3 linked regions of the Tribolium castaneum genome follow. The protein of the gene in region 3 purifies or fractionates together with the protein of the main gene of each other region. This does not show direct contact. Links are inferred from orthologs where the notes say so. Each region holds a gene or a part of one and is shown on either strand. Other genes may lie near its edges.

The links.
Region 1: the proteins of l(1)G0020 (region 3) and THUMP domain-containing protein 1 homolog purify together in Homo sapiens (co-immunoprecipitation; 3 studies listed by BioGRID and IntAct, counting the BioPlex papers as one, with this or other methods). This does not show direct contact. The link is inferred for Tribolium castaneum from reciprocal best matches to the Homo sapiens genes NAT10 and THUMPD1.
Region 2: the proteins of l(1)G0020 (region 3) and protein AATF purify together in Homo sapiens (affinity purification with mass spectrometry; 3 studies listed by BioGRID and IntAct, with this or other methods). This does not show direct contact. The link is inferred for Tribolium castaneum from reciprocal best matches to the Homo sapiens genes NAT10 and AATF.

What each region holds. Positions count from the first base shown.
Region 1 is NC_087394.1:31,072,895-31,078,487, forward strand, and holds THUMP domain-containing protein 1 homolog, read right to left. Parts: upstream 2,481-5,593; 5' UTR 2,387-2,480; exon of another isoform or gene 2,309-2,386; intron 2,258-2,308; 5' UTR 2,247-2,257; coding exon 1,491-2,246; 3' UTR 1,459-1,490; downstream 1-1,458. Other genes in the region: scny (ubiquitin carboxyl-terminal hydrolase 36), read left to right, coding at 1-635, 833-955; elgi (E3 ubiquitin-protein ligase NRDP1), read left to right, coding at 2,570-2,850, 2,901-3,345, 3,392-3,661; uncharacterized protein LOC103312325, read right to left, coding at 5,176-5,401, 5,447-5,593. UniProt on the Homo sapiens protein: Functions as a tRNA-binding adapter to mediate NAT10-dependent tRNA acetylation modifying cytidine to N4-acetylcytidine (ac4C).
Region 2 is NC_087396.1:16,778,448-16,784,626, reverse strand, and holds protein AATF, read left to right. Parts: upstream 1-3,029; coding exon 3,030-3,291; intron 3,292-3,345; coding exon 3,346-3,477; intron 3,478-3,533; coding exon 3,534-4,570; 3' UTR 4,571-4,588; downstream 4,589-6,179. Other genes in the region: uncharacterized protein Jasper, read left to right, coding at 1-74, 123-178, 362-515, 564-669, 719-888, 947-983, 1,035-1,763, 1,812-1,907 and 1 more; U11/U12 small nuclear ribonucleoprotein 35 kDa protein, read right to left, coding at 2,066-2,644, 2,691-2,696. UniProt on the Homo sapiens protein: Part of the small subunit (SSU) processome, first precursor of the small eukaryotic ribosomal subunit.
Region 3 is NC_087402.1:4,625,000-4,631,888, forward strand, and holds l(1)G0020 (RNA cytidine acetyltransferase), read right to left. Parts: upstream 4,683-6,889; 5' UTR 4,651-4,682; coding exon 4,543-4,650; intron 4,498-4,542; coding exon 3,508-4,497; intron 3,459-3,507; coding exon 3,186-3,458; intron 3,139-3,185; coding exon 1,945-3,138; intron 1,897-1,944; coding exon 1,523-1,896; intron 1,485-1,522; coding exon of another isoform or gene 1,478-1,484; exon of another isoform or gene 1,471-1,477; coding exon 1,374-1,470; 3' UTR 1,273-1,373; downstream 1-1,272. Other genes in the region: r-l (uridine 5'-monophosphate synthase), read right to left, coding at 1-245, 300-539; ras-related protein Rab-33B, read left to right, coding at 4,967-5,188, 6,032-6,292, 6,345-6,509; Ubr1 (E3 ubiquitin-protein ligase UBR2), read right to left, coding at 6,807-6,889. UniProt on the Homo sapiens protein: RNA cytidine acetyltransferase that catalyzes the formation of N(4)-acetylcytidine (ac4C) modification on mRNAs, 18S rRNA and tRNAs.

The sequences.
Region 1 (5,593 bases), on a different chromosome or scaffold from region 3:
ACTCAGAGAGTTCCGGAACGAGCGACAGCGAACCGGAAAATCCGCAAAAAAGTCCACAAAAAGAAAACAAACCGGTGGCGACACCTCCGCTTCCCCCGAAAAAATCAATGCCTAGCATAAATAACGAGGAAACCGCCAAATCACCACTAATGCAAAAGAATCGGACGTTATCGCCACGCAATACTAATAGTACAACACCGATTAGTTCAACAAATGCGGAAAAGAAAGGGTCATTTCAGCCGGTTACTACGAAATTGGTTCCGTATGAGACGGACGATTCGAGTTGTTCCGACGAATCGAATCAGTCGCCACAGGATGTGGAGTATAGAGTTTCTACGAAGGCGGCAGTGGGCGATTGGAAGGTTACTTCAACTGAACCAACGACGCAGAGTAAAAGTTGGGGAGAGAAAAAACAAGATGGGACTGTTAGCGAATTGTTCAAAATGTCCCACAGTGGGTATTCGGCACCTGTTTCCTCGTGGAACGGTACTAGGTCTCAGCTAGATAAGGAAATTAGCAACGAAAGGAGAGAAGACAGAAAGAGAGCTTTGAGTGATAATTCGGACCAAGGCAAAGTCAAACATCAAAAACTGAATAACTCCTACAAGTCTAATCCTGGTTACAATCCCGTACAAGTGAGTAATTTGTTAGTTCCGATAATAGCTTCTTTATATTTTTTGAAAAGCTATTAAATATATTAAAAAATATTTTGCAAATTTAAAAATAGTTTCCTAAACTTCTTGGATAAAAATATAGAAAATTGAGTGATTTTAGCTGTCGTTTCGTATTCAAATATTTGTATGAATTGTTGTATATCGTATTTTTGTTTCAGGAATTTCACAACACTAAGAACTGGAGTCAGAACAACGGTTACAAGCCGTTTTATTCGGGCAACCGGCACCGTCGTAATTTCCACCACAAAAGCTTTCATAAAAATTACCGCTTTAGGCAGTGATTAATTTTAAGGTTGAATATTTTTACATAGGCAATTGAACTTGTATAATTGTGCATATTATGTCACCATTGTTTAGCATAACTGAATTTGTGAATTTATAATGTAAGTATTTATATTTTTAAACAAACTATAATTCCTAATTTTGATTGAAAAACCGATGTAATAAAGTAGCGATAGTATAATTAACAATGAAATCTTTTAGGAAGTGGTATTTGTTTCATTTTTTTGAGCTTAATGTTCACAGTGCATTTAAAATACTGTATTTTTTCTATTTCTTTTCCTATTTGTACAAAGATTTATTTACCATTAAGCATAAAGATATTAAACTTTTACCATATATTACTTTAATGTTTATTAACTTCTTGAAATTGACGAATGTTTTGAATTTTATGATGCAACTTTGAAATTTTAAACAATGGTAATAGTCAAACCTACACTATGTGTACTCATGTTGTAGCAATGCAACCATGTATCTGTTCTAGAACAAAACTTTGGAAATAAAATTTTTATATTAATAGAAAATTTTATTGCAACATTAATTACAATCAGCTACTTGTTCTTGACTACAAAGTGACAATAAATTATACTTTTTGTGCTTAAGATAGTCAGGTATAACACTTAAAAACGCAAACCCCTTTATCACTTCAACAATAATAGCCACTTTTGCCTCTTTAAGATCAACTTTATGATCAGGCCTCAGCTCGGACACTTTCGCTGCAATTAATTTTATGACTTCATCCCGCGAAACAACATTATTATTCCGGTGGTTGAAGATCACACAAAACGTTTGCGGGGACTCCACAAAGTGTTTCTGGGCGAGGGGCACAAATGCGTTGACAATATCACTCACATTCGCCTTGCACGTAATTTCCACAGGAATCAGTCTCAGCAAAAATTTCGTTCTTTGGGTCTTACTCCCATCAACATCTTTTATAATCGCCTCTGCTAGCTCAACCGGATTCTCCAAACTCGTCCTAATGAATAGGAAATTTTTGGCACCAGATTCTATAACCTGGAATCGTTTTTCACTCTTGTCTTGCTTCAGTTCGGATATTTCTTTAGCCAACGAGTCGTCAATGTCTTGCTCAGCTTCAGGTTCGTTGCTCTCTTGGTACAATTTGTCAGCATATTCGTTTAGTAAATTGTAAGATTCCTTAATGCAGTCCTTTTCCCTGTTGTTACAACTGCAGAGGAAGCCCCGCAAGTTCACGTCCAAGCTCAGTCTTTTGTTGGAAGTTTTTTTAAAGTAGTATTTTTTGGATTTTTGTTTGGAAACAACTGGCTTACTCATGACTACGACCCCTACAAAACTATGTTGTAATATACAATTCACCAAATAAATCGATATGTGACCACTGTTCTTTGTTAATAACACGTATTAATCCAATATTTTTTTATTTGTAAGCATAAAAAGTTAAAATAAATACGCACTTAAAAATTAGGTTAGCTGAAACATCACGCCTGACCAACCTAACAGACAAAACTTCCTAAATTTTTTGTTTCTGTGTCAGACATTTTGTTGATGGGTGACATTTGTCACATATGATTTTACAATTTATAAATAAATCGCAGTGCTAAAATCCGTGCAAATTGTGATGGGTCGTTACTGTTAAAATGGGCTTTGATATTAATAGGTTTCAAGGAGATGTAGATGAGGAATTGGTGTGCCCCATTTGTTCGGGAGTACTGGAGGACCCCTTGCAGGTGTGTTTACTTATTTTTTTAATGGAAAAAGTCTTACTGGTTTTGCAGGCACCTGTGTGCGAGCATGCATTTTGCAAGTCCTGCATAACCGAATGGATCACAAGACAGCCCACATGCCCCGTGGACCGACAAAGTGTCACATCAGCGCAACTGCGCCCAGTGCCCCGAATTTTACGAAACTTGCTTTCTAGGTAATCAAAAAGTCTGAAATGAAACCGTTCGATTCAATATTTTGTTCCAGACTGTGTATAAATTGTGATAACGCTCAGTATGGCTGTACGCGTGTATTAAAATTAGACTCTCTCTCGAACCACCTTGAAGAATGCGAACATAATCCTAAGAGACCTTTACCGTGTGAGAAGGGCTGTGGTTTAGTGATTCCTAAAGATGAGTTGAAAGACCACAATTGCGTGAAAGAACTGCGAGCGCTGATACAGACCCAGCAGCAGAAAATGAACGACTTCCAGCAGGAAATCACCGAGCAGCGCTTCCTAATCAACGAGCAAAAGCGCGAAATGCAGCTGCTGAAGGAGTTCATGAGGGCCATGAGGATATCGAACCCTTCAATGAGGGCAATAGCTGATGCAATGGAGAGAGATGAAGTCTTAAGGTGGAGCAACTTTCTCCAAAGGGCGCGAGTCACCCGATGGGGAGGGATGATCTCGACACCAGATGAAGTTCTTCAAGTAGGTTCAATCAACAAGTGGCGAAATTTTCATAATTTCCTTCCAGAGAATGATTAGAAGGACGTTAACTGAGATGGGGTGCCCCAACCACATATTAGACGATCTAATGGAAAATTGTCACGAGAGGAGGTGGCCCCCCGGCTTGAGCTCGCTGGAGACCAGGCAAAACAATAGGAGACAATACGAAAACTATGTTTGTAAAAGAGTACCGGGCAAGCAGGCTGTGCTGGTACTGGCGTGCGACAATACGCATATGGGCGAAGACATGATGGTAGAGCCAGGTTTAGTTATGATTTTTGCTCACGGTATAGAGTAACCCTCTTTGTTTTTATTTTTTTTAATTACATTCCTTTTAAATACATTAATTTACATTAAGTTTAATCATAATCTTTCTCACTGCTTTATTATAAAATCTGGGGTCTGTAAGTGCCACAAATTGTTCCGTTCTGGTGGTGATGCAGTCAATTTTATCAATTAGAATTCGTAAAATTAGAAAATTGACAGGAAGTGCACTAATGATACAGGATTATTCAGCTTGAACAAATTAACTGTTTTGTAACTTACTGCAATGTGCCATTATTCATGAACCAAAAGTAAATTAAGGCTGTGGTCTACTTTATTAAAACATTTTCACCCGTTTACGTATAAATAGCTTTAATGGGTCATTTAAACACCGGTAAAAATGAAACTAATTCGCCGCTTGAGGGGCTTTAAACGTCGTTTGTAGAAAATTTAATTCTCTTCAACTGTTTTTGTTACGTTTTTCTTGTGTTTTTGATTGTATTCGCATGTAAATTATAAATTTAATAAATTATTCATGCACTTTAAAAAATAATAATAATGTAATTTATACTTTCAATGAGAGATCTAACCATTAATAATTATTGACTGTGTCTAAACTCCCGGGAGCGTCACGAATATTGAAAGTGACGTCATCAACGACCAGGATTTTTAATTGTTTTATTGATTTTTTGTATTTTACACATAATTTTTGTTGTAAATATTATAGCAATCCTTAAATTTTCCAATTGGAGGAGAAGCCAATCAGTCAAGTCTTTAATAACGATTGCAAGGCCAAATTTAAAAAATACTTACATTTTATTTTTTATTACACAAAAAGTTTGTGTCTTCGAGCATCATATATATATGATGAGTGCCTATAATAATAGGGAGAATTTTTTTGCAGACCAGTGTTATTGAACTTACTTTTTGCAATCAAGAAATTATTATAAACGTTGACTGCATCATCAATTTTGTTCCAGAACGTGTTCATTTGTCGATTTTATAATGCGTAAAGTCATCAATAATTCCTGCCGCCAGGATAATTGATTACTTTTGCATTTTCAAAGAATTTGCTGTTAATATTGATTTTTCAACAATAACGGAAACGCTGACGCAGACTTGAATGTTGGTGGATGTGCGGTTTTCCCGTTTTGTTTCGTTTTAGTTATGTATAGTTTAATGATCTGACATTTGATCTCAAAAATTCACAACAAAGTCGTTCCTACATCCGATCGGATTTGGTCTGACATAACACTAGTCACGTCAGAAATGTGATTTAATTTCTAAATTTTTTGAATGGAGGTATGGAAATATCAAACACTAAATTCTACTCGAAGCTCCCCTACGTTTTGAGGACTAGCAAAGGAACTCAAAGAGCTAAATACATTTGTGTAGCTTCTTGCAGTTAATTTTTGTTAGGGTTTTGGGGGGTGCGATGTTTATTTATTTTGTAATGTGATTAATATTGAGGCTTAAATGTACTTAACTTCTGTTGGGCATTTTGTAGTTCTTATGTGCTGCCAATTCTTGTAATAAACAAGTAAATTTTTATATGTTAATGTGATTACGACCCCGTTTGTAAAAGTAAAACACGAATTCGGACACGAGAAATAATAACGCGATTAAAACACCGCCTAAAAACAGTAAAATTGCGGATCCTACGTGTTCACGACCGGCACTTGAATACCCAGGATTCAAGTTGAGAGTTGAAACAGGCCGTAAATTTGATTTGAGAATTTTTTGCAATATTCCAGACTCGTCCAAAGCAATTACACTGAAAAACAATGATATAACGTATTCCAACAATCTTAAATATTACTGTTTGTTTATGTTTTTTTTCCACGAATTATTACGCAGCGTCAGAAAACCTTGGGTGTATCTCACATTCAGTTTCATTGTTTGCAAGGATAGAATTTCGTCGAGGCCCAAATTATTCACCATGTACTGCTGTAATGAAATTTCAGGG
Region 2 (6,179 bases), on a different chromosome or scaffold from region 3:
AGCGAACCCGCTCATTTAAAGAAGGTGACAAAGTGTTTGCTAAAATCAAAGGCTATCCAGCTTGGCCGGCAGTTGTAAGTTCTTGGGTTTGTTTTAATTTCATTGGTGCAAGTTCGTTGTAGATTTTAGCAAAAAGCGGTAAAAAATTCAATGTGCAGTTTTACGGAACTGGAGAGACGTAAGTAACTTTACTGTTTGTTTGCTAAATGGGGCTGTGACAGGATTGAAGTGTGGAGGTTTTAACTTCAATTTTTGTTAATTGGGGGCCCCTAAATTAGCAGGAACTTGCCGACAAGCTGCTATTGAGTCTTACAAGCTTGTGCGATATTTCCGTACAAAAATAAACAATGCATATTTTTAGGGGCTTTATTAAACCTGAAGACATATTCTACTATCTTAAGAATAAGGAACAGATGGTCAAAGGGTCGAAAAAGAAGGAGTTCAAAGACGCTGTTGAGCAGATTGAAAAGGCCATTGCTGAGGACGGAACAGATGGTGATGAGTCTGGTGTTGATGTAAGTCAATTTGGGGGTAATTTTTTTTTTGTTATGTATTGACAACAGGCAGGTGCCCCAGCTCCTAAAAGGAAGAGAAGTAACTCAGAGAAATCCTCAGATTCTGTTCCGTCGAAAGTTAGCAGTAATGCTAGAAACTCTGAAAGTGAAGGAGGTAGTTTTAAGGTTTATATCAATAGTAGCTTATTAAAAAATATTTTTAGAATCAAATATGAGTGAAAGTGCTGTAGACGGTCCTAACGAGTCTAGAATTGAATCTGAGAACAAGACATTCGGGAGTGCTGACGAAAATAATGCAGTGGACGAAGATTTGCCATTTTTGCCAAACATTAAAGTAGTTTCGGAGCTTAACTTAAAAAATTGGATTATTTATGTGAGTCAATTGGCACTTAAATACCTTTCATCACTGTAATTGCCCATTCAAATTGCAGGCAGATGCAGTTAAGGAAAAACCAGAGTTATACAAATGTAAGTTTTGTAGGATTTAATCATTGATTTGTTGTAATTATTCGGCTACAGCCCGCCCTGTTGACCAACGCCATTACTTCGAAAACCAAGTATTTCCGGTATTGCTCCCTTCCGGCAAATATGCAGGCCTTAAACTCCACAAGAAGTGGCCGCTGCACTTCGAAAATGAATACGAGTGTGCTATTTATGACAGTGATACAGCCTCCAGAGTGCTTCTCCTCAAAGATGCAGTGACTAGTGGCGAAATAACCCCAGAGAGCAATCCTGAATCGTTCCTCGATGATTTTGATCTCACTGAAACTGAAATAAAGCGAGATGCTGAAATGAAACTGATCAACAGCAAATACAAAAGGGTAGAGAGATTGAGAGCAGAGTCCAGCTTGGTTGAACTTGACGCAAAAATTAAGAATTGTCTCGGCTTAAATAAAGCCGAGCCAAAGAAAGCGTTGGAATTCTTGGATAGTTTACTTGAGATAAATATGGACGAAATTATGCTAAAGAAACACTCTCACGTTGTTGAGATGATCAGGAGGTTGAGAAAATACGTAGGAAATTTAGAAGAGTGGAATTTACCACCTGAGGAGCTTGAAACTTTCAACAACGACGCACAGAAAGTACGGACAAAGGCAGATGAGATTTATAAGAAATTCAAATCGGTTTGTAAATTACCGGCGGGGTCTGTTAACTTTTGGGACGGTTTCAATGACATTGTTAGGAAATTTAGGGAGGATTGCATCCATTTGAATAATAGGGAAGTTTTTGTTTTGTGTGCCGAGCCATGTAAGTTTGTTTTATTTAGAAATTTTCTTAGTTGTAATAAAATTACAGATTCGCGTCAAGCTATTATTGACCGACTTGAGCAGGAAGAAGAATTACAAGAGGCTGATATTCACCGTCCGGTTGATAGTGAAATTGAGAAAGTTGGTAAGGCATTAAGTGAATCATAGGATATTCAAATAACTCGCTTGTTCTAGCAGACGTTCAGTAGTGTTGCAAGTAATACATAAAGAAGAGTTTTTTAGTTTATTATTATTTTTTTTTTGTTAAAATATGTATGTTTAAACACTTTTCAATATAAAACATTATTTACGATCACGTCTACTTTCACTCCTGTCTCTCCTACTCCTTTCCCGCCTCTCTTTTATCTCCAAACTGATGGGTTTTTTGAAGGGTCGATCACGGCCACCGAACCGCAACTGTCCGGACTCCTTTTTCCCACCAAAGCCGCCTCCAAGTCGTCTCGGTCGCCACCCCTTTAATAACCTCTCACATTCAAAATCTACGAAAATTATGTTTCCATCAATATTCATTTTATTCGCTTTACAATACGCTTCCTCAGCGTCGAGCTCATTTTCGTATTCGATGAAAGCGTAGCCTTTGGGCATCCCTGTGACTATGTCTTTAACTAAACGAAATCGGCGCAAAGGGCCATATTTGGAAAAAATGTCCTTAATTGTGTCTTTTGTGGTTTTGAGACTAAGACGGCTGACGAAAATTGTGCACTCGGGACGGCCTTTAACGTGGCGGTTGGGGTGGTATTCGGAATTTAGGGCTCGGACGATGCCTTTGTCGTGGGGCTCCGTGTCGGTGCCGTCGATGGAACCAATTTTTATCGGGTCGTAATATTTGGCAAAACGGGACCATGAAGTGTCCGAAGAGTCCTAAATTATTTAAATAGAAATGAAATAAAGTTTGTTTATAACTTACGCTCATCGTCTTGTTTGAAAAAAATTAGGTTAAACAACTGTCACCTGTCAGAACCTTGCCATATGTGTCCGCATGAGTGTCTGGTCGAAATATTCAATTTTTTTTTAACAATAGTTTATTTTTACTTTGTACATGTACAAATTTCAAAATTGCAGCTAACGTAATGCCATCACTTGTTTGTGATAAGCTACGATTAGTTATTTTGTGTGTGGATCGCATAATTTTGGTTTCGAACTTAATAGCTTTCATGTGCCTTAGAAAAGAGTGTAGTGACGGAATCGTGACAGAATAATATAACCTCCAAATATAAAAACGTGTCTGGTTTTAATTTCTCCTAAAATGAAAAAGAAATCGACTGGAACTTTAGCTGATAAGATAGCAGGTATTTTGAATACCGCCCCTTCGAGTATTGACCCTGAAGATGAGGTTGATGACGCCACGGTTGCAAAAGTTGTGGAAGACGATGTTGAAGAAAACGAACAAGAAGATGAAATTTTGAGCAAATTTCGTCAAAAAAACATTGACCTGTTAGCTGATTTAGATGAGAAGTATGCCGGAAAAAAGACCAGTCGGAAGAATTTGAGGGATTCCGATTCAGAGGGTTTGTTACAAATGTTTGGTTTTAAAATTCTTGTGCTCAAAAGTTACTTTACAGACGCATCGCTGGGAAGTTTGGACGATAAGGAAGAAGAAGAAGAAGAAACTGAAACAAAAGGCAGTGCGAGCGAGAGCGAGGACGTGGAAGAAGAATCGTCTCAAGAAGACTCTGAAGGTCCAGAATCAAATGGTCTGCTTGGTTTCTTTTTTTTTGGCAGGACAAACGTTAAAATTTTATTTTTGCAGAAGATTTATCAGAAGATGATGGGGAGTTGTCGGAAAATGATAACACTGAAGAGAATTTCAAACACATTTCGGACACGAATGTTTCAAAACAAATTAAAAAAGGGCTTTGTGTGAGAAACCAAATGGCAATGTGGGAAAACCTCCTAGAAGTACGAATCCAACTCCAAAAATGTCTCTTGACTGCCAATAAAATGCCACAACCCGAGAAGTTTAAAGAAATCAAACAATCTGATCCCGATTTTTCCAATAAAGTTAATGAGACAAAAAACAAATTATGTGATGTCTTAGATAAACTACTATTGTTACAAAAATTGCTGTATAAACAGTATCCTGAAACAAAAAATTTGGATCAGACAAGCGCTCAAAGTGAAAAAGTTGAAGATCCTGATGATGAAGAAATTCCAAGTGATACAGATGTTGAAGAATCAGGCGGCGAAGAAGAAATTGTAAGCGATACTCCCAAGAAGAAACGAAAATTAGAATATTACGAAAGCGAAATTTTCGAAAAACACAAAAAATACAAAGATTACAGAAACAACATCATACAGAAATGGAACGACAAAACGCGCGTTGTGGTCAAAGGGGGCACCACTTCGCACTCAGTTCTAGACCAGATTGAATACAATTTGAGTAACAAAGATAAGCTTATCAAGAAAACGCAACTCAAGCGTTCCCAGTACTCCATCCTAGGTGAAGAAGAAACAGAAGATAGAAACAGTGAGGAGTACAATAGCGAGATTTTTGATGACGACGATTTCTACCATCAGCTTTTGCGCGAACTAATTGAAGTCAAGTCAGCCGACGTCAGCGATCCAGTGCAGTTAAGTCGCCAGTGGATTCAGTTACAGAATCTAAGGAGCAAAATGAAGCGAAAAATCGACACAAGAGCTACAAAGGGACGCAAAATACGATATGCTGTACACAGCAAACTGGTTAATTTTATGGCGCCCATTGATGGGAATTTATGGACAGATGACGCGAAAAATGAGTTGTATAGCTCGCTCTTTGGCAAAAATAAAACTGCATCTAATTTATAAAATAAATTGTTTTATAAATCCTTGTTTTTATTGAGTCATTACTCATTATCCCCCTTACATAAAGAGATTTTTTATAAAAAACACAACCTCCGACTCATTGTTTTGAAATAATTCTTATATTATAATGGGTGCAAGCTTGATAATAGCATTATACGCAGTCGTTGCACACTGCCTTTGTTCTTCGCTTTCGTAGTTCCACCTTTTACTTTAAAAATAATTGTTGGAATTTACCTTTTAAATTAACATAATTTTATAACTATAACATATGAGGTTTTTTTTTGTGTCTCATCCGTCATGTATTTCTTTTTCCTGCTCGTATTTGAAATTTTACATATGTCGCTCCCACTGAAGTTTGCAAATAGTTTGACTGATACAAAGCTCCTATAAAGGAAAAGTCACTTCCCTGATTCTGTTGATAAATTTTGAAAAAAAATCTAAAATTGGGGCAGTGTCCCGCACGTTAAAATGGAATGGCTAATAAGCTGCTTTTTCTTTTATTTCAAAAATTTATGAGACGACCGGTTGTGATAACAAGCAAGTGACAATCTGAAAAAAAATAAACGGCACATCATTAATAATTGTGCTTAAATAACCAATTACTGCAAAGGTGCGAACAAAAAGCTTTGTCTCTTATCTAATTCGTTTTTGTTAAGACTTTAGTTAATTTTTTTAAGTACCTATTGGCTTACATAACTACTCTACACAAATGATGTCTTATTTTAAAGCATTTTTTTGCATGGAATTTGTTAGCGCAGTCACCGATTTTTTTCAATTATTTCATTAATGATAAAGTTGTGTGATCTCTGTGAGTTCCCATTTTGCATTTTATATAAAGACGCGTTCTCACGGATCGATTTTAATTGTTCAGTTTAAGCTGATCAACAAAAATTGAATGAAAATCATCGTGAGAAACTTTATTTTAACTAAGTACACCAAGATTTTAAGAAAGTCGAATTCAGGTATTTTACTCGTTGTTTTACAGCCGTTGCAAGTAACGTTTATTTTATTACAGTTATTTACTTGACACATTCTTCTACTAGGAATGTAAGGGAGAAAATGTTTAAAAATGCTATCAGTGCTTTATTTAATTCATCATAAAAACTGAAATAATTGTGTTTTTTGAAAATTGTTTTGCTTCAATAATGAGTGTTAAAGAGAAAATGAAATACTTTTGGCCCTGTAGTAGTCTCTTAGAAATAAAGAGGTACTTATTTTAACTTGAAATTTTCTATCGTTTACTTGTAAAACTCTTAAAACGAATTAGCGGTACTGGCCTATGACATCGGCAATCTTTCTATTATGCGCTCGCTTCAATTCAGTGTCGTACATTCATATTAATTTGTTGATTTTTGTCGAGGATCACACACCACAAAAACGGACTCGTCTACTGAACATTCATTTTTATGCAAAATTTTCTGGTGAATTCGAATACGAAGTTAATCTTTTGATTTGGAACTGCCTTCATATTAAAAAAGACGTTTTTGAGGCACGTTTTGAAAAAATTGCAATAACTTGGTGAGTTTTCAAGATATCGAAATGATTCTTGCACCAAAAACATATTTAGTCTATTAGCTTCATTTCATCTCAGTTTTCTTTTGCCCAAACTAAC
Region 3 (6,889 bases):
AAAATACTGCTCCCGGATGTAACGACATCCTCGATAATTAAACATTTATCGCCTTCGTTAAATTGACCTTCAATCAGTTTTTTCGTTCCGTAATCTTTCGCTTCCTTCCTCCTCATTACCATAGGAATATCACTTTTTACCGAAACTACGGTGGCTATCGGTAAAGCGGTGTAAGGGACCCCACAAATAATGTTAAATTTGGGTAACTGTTTCTGGTACTCGAGAATTAAATCGGCAAGGTCGTTCTAAATCAAAATTAAATTAATTATAAACATTTGTACAATTATTAAGGTACTTGCCAGTAATTTAGGGTAACTCACGATTACCCTCAAATCGACATAGACGGGGGTTTGGAGCCCAACTTTAGTTTTAAAATCACCGAACTTAATGGCATTTATTCGGAACAATTCAACAGAAAATAATTTTAATTTCTCGTTAAACGAACTCATCTTAGTAACAACCACGTGTTGCTCAAACTGTGTTGTGCTTAAAGGTTGCGCTAATTCCTGGCCAATAGGAAACCGAGATTCGGGCGCCATTTATAAACAAATGAATACAAAGGCAATCACGTGATGACTCCATATGACCCTCTCTCTTATTCTATGACTACTTCTTAAGACCGACGAGTTAATTTTTTCCAGTGCATTAATTTGCGCAGTTCTGTGAATTTTGTGATAATTATGGGCCATTTAAACTTGATCTTTGTATTATTATGGCTACAACCATTTTTAATAAGGACAGAAACGAGTTATGTACGTATTTATCTGCAGTCATAAATCAATAAATGATTTTTTAGAATTCCATGCTGATAAAAGACTTGAAAATTTCAAAATGTTCAAGTAGAGATTACCCTGTGACCGTAGCTAATGTCACACTTGAAATGGGTTCAAAATCCAAAATTAAGGTCACTGGGAGCCTGAGTTCCACAATTGACCTTGTAGGCCCGATTAAGGTACTTCCCCCAGTTAGGCGTCCATCTTTGACACATTATTTTAGGCGTCCTTATGGATAGAACGTGATATTTGGGGGGTGTGGATACCAATCCCTTGTGAGAATGGTTTAGGGTCCTGTACTTATAACAATTTGTGTGATTACGGATTTCCGGTTGGCCAAACTTGCCCGGAAGTTTTCATAAAGAATAGTGTGCCATGTAGATGCCCGATTGTCAAGGGGAATTACACGATTTTGCCGTCACTTGACGTTTCAGTGCTGCCAACGTCGCTTTTATCAGGGACTTACAAAGGAATTGTGAAAGTAACACAAAACGGACTGTTTCTCTCGTGTTACAACGTTTATTTTGTCTTGTACGATACATTAGATAACGAAGTGTATTCAGTTACACAAGTATAACACATTTTTATTTTTTAATAAAATCAGTTATTTTTCCGCTTCTTGTTTTTATTCTTCTTCTTCTTGATTGGGTCCTCTTTCACTTCGTCGGTATTACTCTCATGTAGCCGTTTCTCGCCACTACAAACTAGTCACTAAACAACACTAATGTAACAATTAAAAAATCGCGAACCTTTTAATTGTGATAATATTTTTTTTGCTTTTTCCCGTCAAGACTTTGCCCCACTCTTCCTCAGACCCCTTAATCGCGAATTGGGTTAAAGACTCATTTTTCAATTTCTCTAACTCCTTTTTTTGCTTTTTTTGTAATTCTTGCGCCGCTTCGTCTAGTTCCTGTTGCATTGATTTCGCGACTGGAGTCAGTTCGACGTCCTTTCGGGGGGCCAAAGACTTTTCAATGTCTTGCTCAAGGACTGAATTTAAATACTGAACGATTCGTCTAATCATTCGGTTAAAAAGGCCCAAAAGCTGAGATGAGGGCAAATCGAGCTCGGCTGCGAGCGTGTCAACTGTCTTGTACTGGAGCCCCACACCCAACAAAATTGCCTAAAATTCATTTGTTATAAAGAAAAAATTAAATATTGAGAGTTGTACTGATTGCACTGCCGACATTTGAACATCGCCCATCTGGTTCAGGAAATACAGTTTTGCCAAAGTCGGCAACAAGTCGATGATTAAATGGTAATCAACTAAATTATTACTGTACATTTCCAGCCGTTTTATGTCGTAACTGGTCAAATGTATTTCCAATTCGGCCCTGGACAAACTTTTAGACGTGATTTTTCGCGTCTTATTTGTCAAAACGCCCAAGGCTAGACTTGGCGAAAATTTGCTAAACTGGTAGCCTAAAAGATTAACGAAACGTCTCCTGAAATCGCTCCAATACGCCATCAACCAATCGTTACTCCCATCCTCATCGTTAAGAACGTTCAACATAATACACGAATGCTCCCCTGTTAAATCGTTCGTCGTTTGTCTCAAATAAACAGGGACGTACCCAGCCCGCTTCCAAAACTTCAGCAACTGTTCGGTTAAACCGTAGGAAACCCCCAGATAATCCAGTTTTTCTGGTTTGCGGTCACTCAATTTGATTAACAGAGGGGGGAGGCTTTTCCTTGGTTCAATTGTTTCCTCCAAAAGGCCGACCTCCTCCTCCCGGACATTACTAATCTCCTCCACCACATCCTCAAATTCGTCGGTACTCGGGATTTTAAACTCGTAGTATTGTTTGAGTAAATTGAGGGCTTTCGCCCCATAACCCATCCCCTGGTAGTCCGGATGCGTGGCGATCCGGACAATCCGGGCGCCGGAAAGGCGCGGAAAGTCCGGGTCTTGGTACTGCTGGCCCACCGTCCACGGGATCAAATCCCCGGAGGCTCTCTTCCCCCGGGAAAAACCCTCAACAACGGAGGATCTTGATATTTCGCCTTCAAGGCACACCTGGATTATGACTAGCACCTCCGGGAGGGTCTTCCGGTTGGGGTCAACGGGGCCCAAGAGACAAAACAAATGATGTGCGGGGGCGTCCGACATCATTTGAAGGTCATTCGGAGTGTTTTTATAATGCGAGGCGACGTATAAGGCGACCAGACGTTGCAAAAACTCCTCTGATGCTTTGTGATAACAAAAAAGGGTGTCGCGGTTTATGTAATACAAATCGCAGGAGTCGGGCGGAGGGCACCCTGACAAGATGGGGGCCACGGAAGTGGCGTCGAGACATAAGAGCTTAGTGAGCCACGCCTCCACATCATCGCCGGGTTTGTACCGAATTGATTCGTCCAAAGTGACCTAAACAATCAAATAAAAAATATACGTGCGACTTTGAAAGCTAATACCTCGTGAAGGGTGCGACCAGTGGCAGCCCCCGAGTCCTTCTTATTTGCGGCATTGGTGTTGGCACCCACTGGAACCGCCTGAATTCGCAACTGTTGCAATAATTTTAAAGATAAGGAGCGACCGGTGCCCTCGTAACCATTGATAGTTGAGGCTAAAAACACTAAATACGGCCCTAGCATTGATTTCACATACGGGAGAGGAATCGCAGCTGCTTCGTCAATTACTAAAAGTTCGGCTTGACTCAATCTTTGACTATCAGTCGGCTGAATGTACTAAAAAACCAAAAATCGGATTTTTCTAACAATTAGGGCTTTATCTCACTTGAATAGTTTGCCTGTGGTCCCTGAAAATATTCACCCGAACTATGGCCTTATTAAACTCGGGGTTCGTGCTTTGCACTAGACTATAGTCTATATGTTCCTGATATTCAAGCGCGTCAAATCCTTTAAAAACAAATTCGAAAAACGTGTTTAAATTCTCCGGACTCGGACTCGTTACGAAAATATTCGAGTATCCGAAGGCCACGGCTGCGGCCACCGACAGCCCCAACGCGGCCGATTTCCCGCGCCCCCTTGCCGCAGTCAGAGACACCGTCGAGCGAAGTGTCTTTTCCGAAATGGCTTCAATGAACTTCAAAAGCGCCTTACCCTGGTCCAGGGTTTTGCAACAGTTGATTAAATTACCGACTGGTTGGGTGTCTCTGAGCTGGTTTTTGAGGTCGGTTAGTTCGCTTTCCGAAGGCAAGGGCTCTTGCGAGGGCTCGACCGGGGTCACGTGGAGGTTGTGTGAGGAGATTGGGAGGACGGAAAGTTGGTCGTCGACCACAAGACAGCGTTTGCAGGAGGCTAGAGACAGGAGGAAACGTTCGTTGAAGCGGCAGACTATGTCTTGGTGGGCTTCCGTCCGGAAGCGCTGGTGGACGTCCATGCTCATGGTGTACAACTGTTTTAAAGACGCCACCGAGCGCAGTAAAATAACAACCAAGCCGCCCCCTTCTACCGTTTCAATAGTCCGGGCTAGGAGGTTGGGGGTCAAGGCTTCGAAGTCCTGCAGGACGCACATGCCGAACGTGTTGCCCAAAATTTTGTGGGTTTCGGAGTAGTAACAGTAGCGGATTTTCGTAGAGGAGAGGAAAAGTTCAAAGGGGTCGTCCTCATTGACGCTAAGTTTGCCCGTTTGTATTTTATGTTGGAGCTGTTTCATGCGCTTTTTTCGGTGGCTACTGAAGCCTAACTCTTTTTTGTAACACCACAGAACAGATGGGCGGGCCTTAACTTCGGCTTTTGCAAGCATGTGGTGGAGAATCACCACCTAAAAAACGCAATGAACCGGGGGAGACATGCAAATTTTAAATACCTGATCCCGGCCTTTATCACCAACTATGGCAAACAAAGTCCGGTGCCCCAGCTTGACACCATTTTCGATCAACACTCGAATCCTATTATCAATTTTTTTACGCACCATTTTTCAAATTAACACGTTTTTTTGAGGTTAAGCAACCACAACAAAAGTGTGGTTAGCAGTTTTTTAGGGAATTTGGGTTTCGTAACTGTAATGTCAAGCAGCTGATTGTCAAGTAGACGTCAGAATATTTTTTTAAACCCTATTTTTTACACAAAAAACAATTAATCAACATGATTTATACTTTCTAATGACCTGGAAAAGTACATTTGATGTAATCAAGTGACTCATTTGAGGTAAATCAATTTTTATTATTGTTGTTTCAACTACGTAATTTTTTATCATATAGCGATTAAAGAATTATCTGAATGGAGTAAAAATGGAAAACACTGCACCAACGAATGCTAATGAAGCCCCCACGATTAACAAAACAACAAACTACAAGAAGATATTTAAGATTATTGTCATTGGGGACTCAAATGTGGGTAAAACCTCACTGACTTATAGATTCTGTGAAGGGGCTTTTTTGGAACAGTCGGAGGCCACAATCGGAGTAGATTTTAGGAGCAGAAACTTAACATTAGATGGGGAAGAGATAACTGTAAGAATCATTCCGGAAAAATATTTTTTAATATTTCAATTATTAGTTGAGTAGAGTATAAAATGTTACTTCTGGGCCAGAACATTTGGCGTCTTAAAAAACAAGTCAGAACCTTACAAATTTAGCTGTTTGCCCAAAAACAAACAAGCGAATAGGGCCTTTAAAGCTGATGCAGTAACACTCGCAGCACACGAGTGTGCCCAATATTTGGGGCGGATGATAGATGGAGACTTTAACTGGTCAACTCCATTCGCAAATGTTGCTGGAAGGCAACAAGACCTTGTATTTCCAAGTGTGAACCTAGAAGCTGGGAGAACACTTGAGCTGATAATTTTTGACAAGATACAACCGGATTGGCTCCATTCATCTGAAAAATCTGCGATAGAGTTTTTAGAGAGACTAAAAACTGCTATAAAGTGTCCAATTCTCAGAACAGAAGAACATAAAAACACTTGGTTTGCGAAGTCGTATTTGTTCGATCGTATCGTTTGGTGTCGATATTAAACATGAATTTATTGATTTTTATTAATACTGTAGAACATATAAAGTAAAAAGCCATTTTGGGGTGTGTAAAAACAAGGTATTTTGTTAGTTTTTTAGAGTGTATTTGTAGGATTTTACCCTGTTTTACGTGTGCCCAATTTTTGGTGGCCTACATATATTTGGGAACTTTTGGAGTGGATAAAAATTAATGATTTTTGAGAGGTTTTAGGCCCTATTCGGTTGTTTGCTTTTGGGCAAACAGCTAAATTTGTAAGGTTCTGACTTGTTTTTTAAGACGCCGAATGTTCTGGCCCAGAAGTAACATTTTATACTCTAAGTAACATTTTATACTCTACTTAGTTGCAATTATGGGACACTGCGGGTCAAGAGAGATTTAGATCGTCAATGGTGAAACACTACTATAGAAATACGCACGCGATAGTTCTAGTTTACGACGTCACGAATGCCGCTAGTTTTGATTCATTGAAAAAATGGGTTGATGAATGTAACAGGAATTGTCTCCACGACATACCGAGAATTTTAGTGGGGAATAAGTGTGATGGCGTGGCTGCCGTTACCACAAACGTAGCGCAGAGGTTTGCAGATCAGTACAACATGCCGGTAATAGACGCAACCTTACCGTTCTAGAGCTAATAAAGAATATTTTTTTTAGTTATTTGAAACGTCTGCAAGACTCGATTCTCAATGTGATAACATAGAAGCGATTTTTTTAACTCTGGCTCACAAACTAAAAAATCAGAAGCCTTTTCTACCTGTTACTAACAATATCGTAATCGATACTGTTGCAGAGCCTAAAAAATCATGGGGGTGCTGTTAAATAATTTTGTAAGAAAAACCTGTGGGTAATATATTTATTTTGAATGAAAATTGTATCTTTTTAATTAATTTGTATTACACATAATATTATACAACTCTTTTTTACTGTCCTATTATAAATATTAAATTTCCTACTAAAATTATACAACAGTGTTTTTCGTGTTGGGTGGGCCTTAAGAGAGCTTGTAATTTTCCATAAGTACTGTAATAAATTCCAACAAAATAAATTAGTAAAATTAGACAAAAGGCAACAAATATTTCATCGTTAGTATTTAAAAAAATCACAATTTCATAATCTCTAAAGATGATGCCACTGCGTCGTGATCACATGACTATTCGACTCGATCGCCCTGGCGATTTCCTCATGTATACTATGGCTCA